Danio rerio: one gene and its partner. The protein of the gene in region 1 interacts with the protein of each later gene in a pairwise test. Links are inferred from orthologs where the notes say so. Each region holds a gene or a part of one and is shown on either strand. Other genes may lie near its edges.

What was found. The genes of interacting proteins can lie anywhere in the genome.
Region 2: the proteins of fhl1a (region 1) and mybpc1 interact in a two-hybrid assay, tested with the Homo sapiens proteins (2 studies listed by BioGRID and IntAct). The link is inferred for Danio rerio from reciprocal best matches to the Homo sapiens genes FHL1 and MYBPC1.

Annotation. Positions count from the first base shown.
Region 1 is NC_133189.1:36,177,069-36,181,274, reverse strand, and holds the start of fhl1a (four and a half LIM domains protein 1a), read right to left. Parts: upstream 2,811-4,206; 5' UTR 2,711-2,810; coding exon 2,689-2,710; intron 1-2,688.
Region 2 is NC_133179.1:18,380,279-18,384,400, forward strand, and holds the start of mybpc1 (myosin-binding protein C, slow-type), read right to left. Parts: upstream 2,803-4,122; 5' UTR 2,651-2,802; coding exon 2,629-2,650; exon of another isoform or gene 2,605-2,628; intron 1,244-2,604; exon of another isoform or gene 1,091-1,243; intron 1-1,090. UniProt on the Homo sapiens protein: Thick filament-associated protein located in the crossbridge region of vertebrate striated muscle a bands. Slow skeletal protein that binds to both myosin and actin.

The DNA.
Region 1 (4,206 bases):
CCTCTCCATCATAAACATACAGCCTCATCCTATTTGAGTTCGGCTTCTCCGTATGTTATTATGCGTTAAGACGCTCCAGACTGTCCTACTCAAGAGTATTTGAGTCTTTATGAAAGATATATCGAAACTAGAGTTCAGTTTCACATCACTTTACCTCAATGTATGATCATCAATCACAGGTATTTGTTTCCTCTTACCTGCATGTGATTTTATTTACTCTTTTAAAGTGCTGGTAGCCATTGACTTGCATTATATGAATCACATTTTCAGCTAAAACTTTCCTCTAATGTTCTTTCATGCTGACGATCTTAGATGGAGTAAACATTTATATGCATAGTTCCTTTATATTTAATAATTTGTTCATTATCCTTCACCTTAGTCCCTTTATTCATCAGGAGTCGCCACAGCGGAATCTACCTCCATCTTATCCAGCATATGTTTTACACAGTGGATGGCCTTCCAGCTGCAATCCAGTACTGGGAAACACTCATACACACTCATTTAAACACATACAAATTTTGTTTATTAAATTCACCTATACCTCATGACCTGAAGGAAACCCAAGCGAACATGGAGAGAACTTGCAATCTCCACACAAAGATGCCAACTGACCCAGCTGGGACTTGAACCAGCGACCTTTTTGCTGTGAGGTGGCAGTGCTACCCACTTGGCCACCGTGTTGTCCACTGCTATACCTGCTACACTATACCAAATATGTCTGAGCTCAGTTCGTTTTTTTTAGCTGAATTCTCCTCTATACAGGAGCGGTGTTGTGGCTTCTGTAAACTAAATAATCATCCTGACCTGACCAGCATGCTCAATCCCCTAAGCCTTTTGGGAGAGCGTCCATCAGCTGTTCATTTTTAGCCAGCTCTGTCAGTGTTATCAAACGGACCTCTTTGTCCCAAAGCGAAGAGCAAATGCTGTTTTGAAAGGTCACCGCGAGATCAAATTCAGCCATACGGAGAACAGAAACCGAAGAGAGCATGTCCACGTTAAAGCAAACATTGATTGAGATGGCTATATTTGACAGTAGCAAATGCAGGCCAAATAAGAGGGGAAATGATGCAGAATTAAGGAATTAGCTCAATTGATATTTGGACAAGATTACACATGGGACAATAACCAGTTTTAAGGTTTACCGTGGTTTGGACGTCATTTTTAAAACTGCTAAAATTTTCTGTTGTACCATTCCAACAGTATCAACACAATCTTGTGGCAATTCATAACTTTTTTTTATTTAGTGGCTAATTCGTATGAATTTGTACATCTCATTCGTACAAATTAGTATGATTTGCTCATCTCCCAATGACGGTTGGGTTTAGGGGTGCGGCGGGGGTGGGGGTGGCTTGGGTGCCATGCCTCCTTTTTAAAATTGTACATTTTCATTCGACTGAAGTTGTACAATTTCAAACAAATTAGCCACTAAACTGACAAAACGTAAAATAGTTACATTTTGTCGTGAGATCAGGCTGGCAGTAAATGTACGTTGTTTTGTGTGTGTGTGTGTGTGTGTGTTTTACGACTATTAGTTTTTTTAGTGCAACAGTATTTCCAGCAGAAAAGAACCCTCCACATCAAAAGCTGGTCAGCACGCGATTCAGGAAAAATTTTAAAGCAAATCTCTCGTACACCTACAGCCAAGCATGCTATAGACCTGAACAGTGCAGTGGCTTAATTTATATGCAAAGAAAAGAAAGATTTCCAGGGACGCCTTTTCAAGTTGTAAAGAAATCTGGTTTTGAAACTAATGAAGACAGCAGAAGCCAACGATTTATTGCAGTTATTCAGCCTGAAATGTTTACTGTTCCAAAATATTATAAATGTTTCTTCAAATAAAATATATATTGTGTTTAGAGGGGGTTGTTGTTTTTCCCCCCTGACATTTAAAAAAAGAACATGTTTTGGAGCAGTAATCAAAATACTATGATATTTTTTATCTATCATACCATCAAAATCTTCTACCAGCCCATGCCTGACAAGATTGAGATCACATACAAATATACCCAAACTCAGCATTATAGTGACTATACAGACAAAGATGTGCTTGCCTGCCTGTGATTAACATAGCATCTACTTTATTATCTATTTTGCACAAGCTCTCAAATAAGATTGGTATTCATCTATACTGGAATTACAATGCCTAATCCTCTCAAAAATAAAATAAAACAATGACACCTCTTTTATAAAGTACAATTTGCATCAGGGTATATTAGAAAGCCCTTTCTGTTAACTAAATCCTAACATATACTTACACTGGCTGCATTTATTTGTTAAAAACAGAAATTCTGATACAGTTTTTAAATCTTATATTTTTTTGGAATATTTTATAGATATAAAAATGTCATTTATTTCCAAAGCTGATTCTTTAAGCAGCCTTCTGACATGTTGATTTTGTGCATTTCTCAATAATATACAAATAAAAATGGTTTTACTTTTTACTATTTTCATGAAAAACTAAATTTATCGTTTAGTTGAGACAGAAATGTGATTACAAATACCTTTACTGCCTCTTTTGACAAATGCTATGCTTTACAGCTAAATAATAGAAATTATTTTAGAACAATCCTACTGATCAGTCTTTGGATCTCAGCTAAACCAAATACAATATGCCTGATTAAAAAACAAATGCAAGTGCCAAGAGAATCCACTGGCTGATCCATCAATCGTCACGCTGTGCATCTTTACCTGAGTGCCTGTAGTAGCTCATGTCTGCTATCTGGAAAAACAGAAAGCCTTGCAGAAGTGAAAGAGATGGAAGGATGGATTGATACAGGATACCAAGTATAGCCAAAGAGTTACAGGAGAACTCCACTCTTCTTTTGAAAGTATTTGTCATATATACAGTACTTCCCCAGCTGCCTTTTAAAACCTGCCCCCCAGTTGCCTACCACACCCATCATGGCCTGTCCTCACAAACCCAGTAATCCCACCCAAAGCATCAGCTGCCCACTCCATGTTAGGCTGTGCTGCAAAAGATAAGTGAAGGGGAGGGAGCCGGAGAGAACTAAATTCATCTGAATTCTTGGCTTGTGACATCAGAGAGCAGAATAAAGGAATCTGATCTTCATATTGGAGAAGCTTGTGTTCATTCTGCAATGGATTAGTAAAAGTACATGGCACCACACCTAGAACAACTTTGTTTATCAGTCCTTACTTTGCCAAGTAAACTTTGTGTTGCTATTGGCTTGTCTGATTAAACAATCATTGCAATAAAAATTAGAAAGCAGAGAAAAGAAGACAGTAAAAGCTTCTTAAATTGCTTCTCTGAGGGCTTTTTGGAGGACACTAAAGTGCAACTGTCCTCAGATGCCTTTGATACTCAGTTTGACTCTATAAAACAGCCGTTTCTCCATCTACGCCAAACCATGTTTATAATACAACAGAGTGTGGAGCTTTTCTTATTTCTCAACTTATTCCTAAAGATTGTGATGTATGAGGAAAACTATGCTTGATTTGGAACCAGCTGTAGGATTCTTGTAGTGGCTCATGAATTTGAATGACTAAATCAAAACATACGAATGACTAGAGATAATTAATTATGCAGAGCTGAGTGAAATCTATAAATGATTTCCATGAAAGGACTCGAGTCTGAACTCAAACACTGCAGGACTTTTGAATGTCTACAATATACAAGTGAATGTATAGTAACTTTGCAACTGCAAATTAAAAAACAGTTAATCAGAGTATATTCCAGTAAGTTGTAACCCAATGTTGGGTCAAATATGGACAAACCCAACATTGGATTATTATTTTTAATTAAATTTAAATTACACTTTTTATTCCAATGGTTGAATTTGACCCAACATCGACAATAAATCCAGGTGTAAATGAGATCTAAATGTTTTAAACTTGTATACTTTGGCCATGATAGTCCTGTTTCCTCCTGGTATTGAGATGCAATTTTCTTAATCGGATCACAAGTATTTATTTTGTGCAGTCTACAGTACATATGAATGTTAATGGAAATGACTCAGAGAACAGATCTGTTTTTTCTGATAGCAATAGAATCTGTTAAAACGCCTGTTGAAAACTGTTGGTTTGAGTTGGAATCAGTACTGGCAAGCGAACAATGACAGGGTTCCCACAGATCATGCTTTTCAAAAGGTCTATTCCGGTCATTACAATTGATTTTTTTGTACAAATCATGGAATATCAGGCATTTCGGATTCTTTAGTTTTCATGTATCAAAATTATTATGTTTTT
Region 2 (4,122 bases), on another chromosome or scaffold:
GTGCTGTTAGTAAGCTGTTTGTGTATATGGCTCTAGGACAATTGTGTTGTTGTCAGTATAGTTATGCAATGACCATATTGTTTCTTAAATGTACAAATTATGCATTATCTAGTTAAGTGTGATAATTTGCTTTCAGTTCCAGAACAGAAATGTAAAGTCATGTTACAAATTTTAATTTTTTAAACATTTTTAAGTTTAAATAATCTATATTAAAACTTTTTTAAAATTTTTAATTTCAGGGTTGATTTTAACTTTAGTTGAATATTTTAAATGTGATTATCTTGTCATACCTATACAAACCTATTTTTAGAAATAAATAAATTATAGTCAGCAACAAAATGTTTTAGTTTTAGTTTAGTCAGATTTAAAAATTTATAAATAACCCTATTTTTATCACTCCATAAATGTGAAAATATTCAATACAAGCAGAAAAAAATGTCCCCATGTACTATTAAAAAATATTTCTTAAAACTTTTAAAGCCTTACGCCTCTAAAGATATGTATTGCAACTGAAATAATTAGACGCATACTTGAAAAATGAATAGAATCCTCTTGTTAAGTTGTGACGTATCGTGACATTTGGAATCCTGTTTCTGGGTCCAAGCCACTACCCAATTGAGAAAATATTTGTTTATGACCACTTTTTAGTCATATCACACATTAAAGTGAATTTTGTATAAACTCATAGTGTAAATTTAATTCTCTGGGCTTGCTGCATCACAAATACCAAAATATATGCAATATATATGATTTTTGAAAGTATTACATCGCTTTGTAAGTGTCTATCATTATCATTTGATGAGTCTCCCCGTACAGTTTTATTGGACCCGGAAGCCGCTTTGTGTGACGTCACACTTAACAAGCGGATAAATGCTTAAATGCAAATTTTCTTTCCACCAACCCAAAAAAAGAGAAATTAAGAAAACTAATTCTCAATAACTGACCAATGTCTGAATAAACTATGATCTTGCCTATAGCATCATCCCATAAATGCAGTATTATCTACAATAATATCAACAACAAAACTCAGTCCAACAGCAAGCACAATGCTGCATCCTTACATTTCTCCATCTATTCATCTCTCCATTAGGCATGGAAGCTGATCTCTGTATCATCACCCCTGAAGTATGTGTCTATGTGAAGGCGTAGCGTCTCCACCAGGTCATGGGCATTGCATCATCCATCAGAAATGCCTCTGGCAGCGCAGTAAAGCCCGGCTCTAGGACTTGAAACCCAGCAGCGGGTAAATCAGCACCATTCCATACTTTCAATCCCCAATCGCCTTGACTGTGTGCCATCCATCATAGCAACAGTCATGACAATAGTTGCTTTTTATAAAGTAGTTTAAATCAGCTCATCGTCCAGCACAATGTAAAATCTTTCTGATCATCCCAGAGCTTTGTATGTCTGCTTTGCTCAGTTTGCCCTTCTCATGACTGCAGAAAAGCTGCATCTACTTCTGTTATAACTGATAGACACTATATTTCACAACATGTTATCTGCATCAAATTATTGTGTACATAATAGCAAGCACAGCTGTTTGTAATTTGAATTTGCAAGAATTCCAGCATTTATTTATTTTTATTCATTTTTTATTATAATATAATATAATATAATGCAATGTAATGTAAAATAATATATTATAATATAATATAATATAATATAATATAATATAATATAATATAATGTAAAAAAATATAATATAATATAATATAATATAATATAATATAATATAATATAATATAATATAATATAATATAATATAATATAATATAATATAATATAATGTAAAATAATATAATATAATATAATATGATATAATATAATATAATATAATGCAATGTAAAATAATATAATATAATATAATATAATATTACAAAATATGATATTACAAAATATAATATAATTTAAAATAATATAATATAATATATGGAGGTTCGTTCCGCTGTGGTGACTCCTGATAAATACAGGCACTAATCCGAAGTAGAGTGAATGAATATAATATATGCAAAAATTGTATTTTTATATTTTAGGGTATTTTATAAACCAAAAATTTATATAATATAAAAATAATCATAATAAAAATGTATGAAATAAATTTCCTGCAATTTACCATACAAATCAAGTATATCTAAATAAAAACATATTAAATAATAGAAATAAAAAAGGATACAATAAAATAGGTATATTCTACTTCATTTCAGTCCATGTTTATTTTAAGTAACACAATCAGTTTAATTTGTTTTATTATAGTTATCTTTTTATAACACATAAACTGATGATTTTTATGATATTATTTTATTGATCATAAACATATTCATTTGTAGATTTTGCTTATCTTGATAATTTACCTAATTAGACTCAGAAGTCCCTGCATAAACGCTCAGCTCTAATTCTCTCTCGCTTTCTTTTGTTTTGTATGTATGTATATATAGTGAAATGCTTGTTAGTAGCGTATATGGTGAGAGTCATATTTAGACTGACATCCACAGACTGATCAGATTAGAACCACAACACAGCGTGGCTAGTTTGTTATCAGCATGTTTGTTAGTAATGGTGATAAACAGCATCCTAACACGCATTCTCCTGCTCCTTGTGCCACAGTTTTCCATCAGACTGGCTGCTCACCTTTCTTCGTGGGCTCAGGCATGTTGAGCCGTTCTCCAGCTGGAAGTGTTCAGAGGTGAGTGTGTGGCACAAGCTCTCCGTTAGCCAGAAACGCAGGTCAGGAACGCTGTGGAAGTCACTGAGGATGTGAGGGAGCGATGCAGGAAGGGCCGTGAATGAGAAAGCAACAGATCTGGGGGTGATAAACATATGAGGTTTTTATATAAGGCTCATCTTAGCCACTCCTCACTCTGTCTTTGATAATGGAGCCCAAAAACCTCCCTCCCCTCATGTGCTGAAGTCCTGGGGATTAGAGGAGGCTTGTGGTGGCCTGGAGACACACACACACATGCACACACACACACACACACACACACACACACACACACAGGGGCTTTGGAGTACAGTGCATTGCTGGAAAACAAAAACTAAAGAAGAAGGTATTTGTGTAGACAAGATGACATTGCTTTTAATATGTCACAAAGAGACATGTTAGTTATGTGTTTAAGGCCTTCGATTGAACCTTCAATATAATTTGGTAATGTGTAATCTAATATAGTTCGTTATAGATTTTGAGTCATTTGCAATGTTTTGTATAAACACAGTTGAAGTCAGAATTATTAACCCCCCTTTGAAAACAAACCATTATTTTACAATAACTTGCCTAATTACCCCAACCCGCCTAGTTAACCTAATTAACCTAGTTAAGCCTTTAAATGTCACTTTAAGCTGTATAGAAGTGTCTTGAAAATGATCTTGTCAAATATTATTTACTATCGTCATGGCAAAGATAAAATAATTCTTCTCTCCATTAAACAGAAATTAGGGGAAAAAATAAACAGGGGGCTAAAAATTCTGACTTCAACTGTATATATAGTAATTTGTAATTTTTTAAAATAAAATATGTATTTTAATTTCATTGTTTATATACTTTAATAATAGATAAAAATACAAAATATTTAATAAAAAGAAAAATGTAAATGTGGCAAAGGATAGGATTTTTTAGTTTGTTAAAAGTCATGTACAATATAGTAGAATAATCTGTAATAATGAATTATAATTATTAAAATATAAAAAAGTAAAAATTCTATAATGTGAAAATTTGAATTCATTTAAAAATTGAAAAATCATTTATCATTTAAAAATTAAGAAAATATATTTAAAAAATGATTCATTCATTCTTTTTCTTTTCGGCTTAGTCCCTTTATTAATCAGGGGTCACCACAGCAGAATGAACTGCCTACTTATCCAGCATATGTTTTATGCAATGGATGCCCTTCCAGCTGCAAGCCATCTCTTTGAAACATCCATACACACTTATTCACACACATACACTACGGAAAGCTTAGCCTACCCAATTCATCTATAGCGTATGTCTTTGGACTGTTGGAAAAACCGGAGCACCCGGAGGAAACCATCGTGAACATGGGGAGAACATGCATGTTATATATATATATATAATTATTAACCCCCCTGAGTTTTTAGACCCCCTATTTATTTTTTCCCCAATTTTTG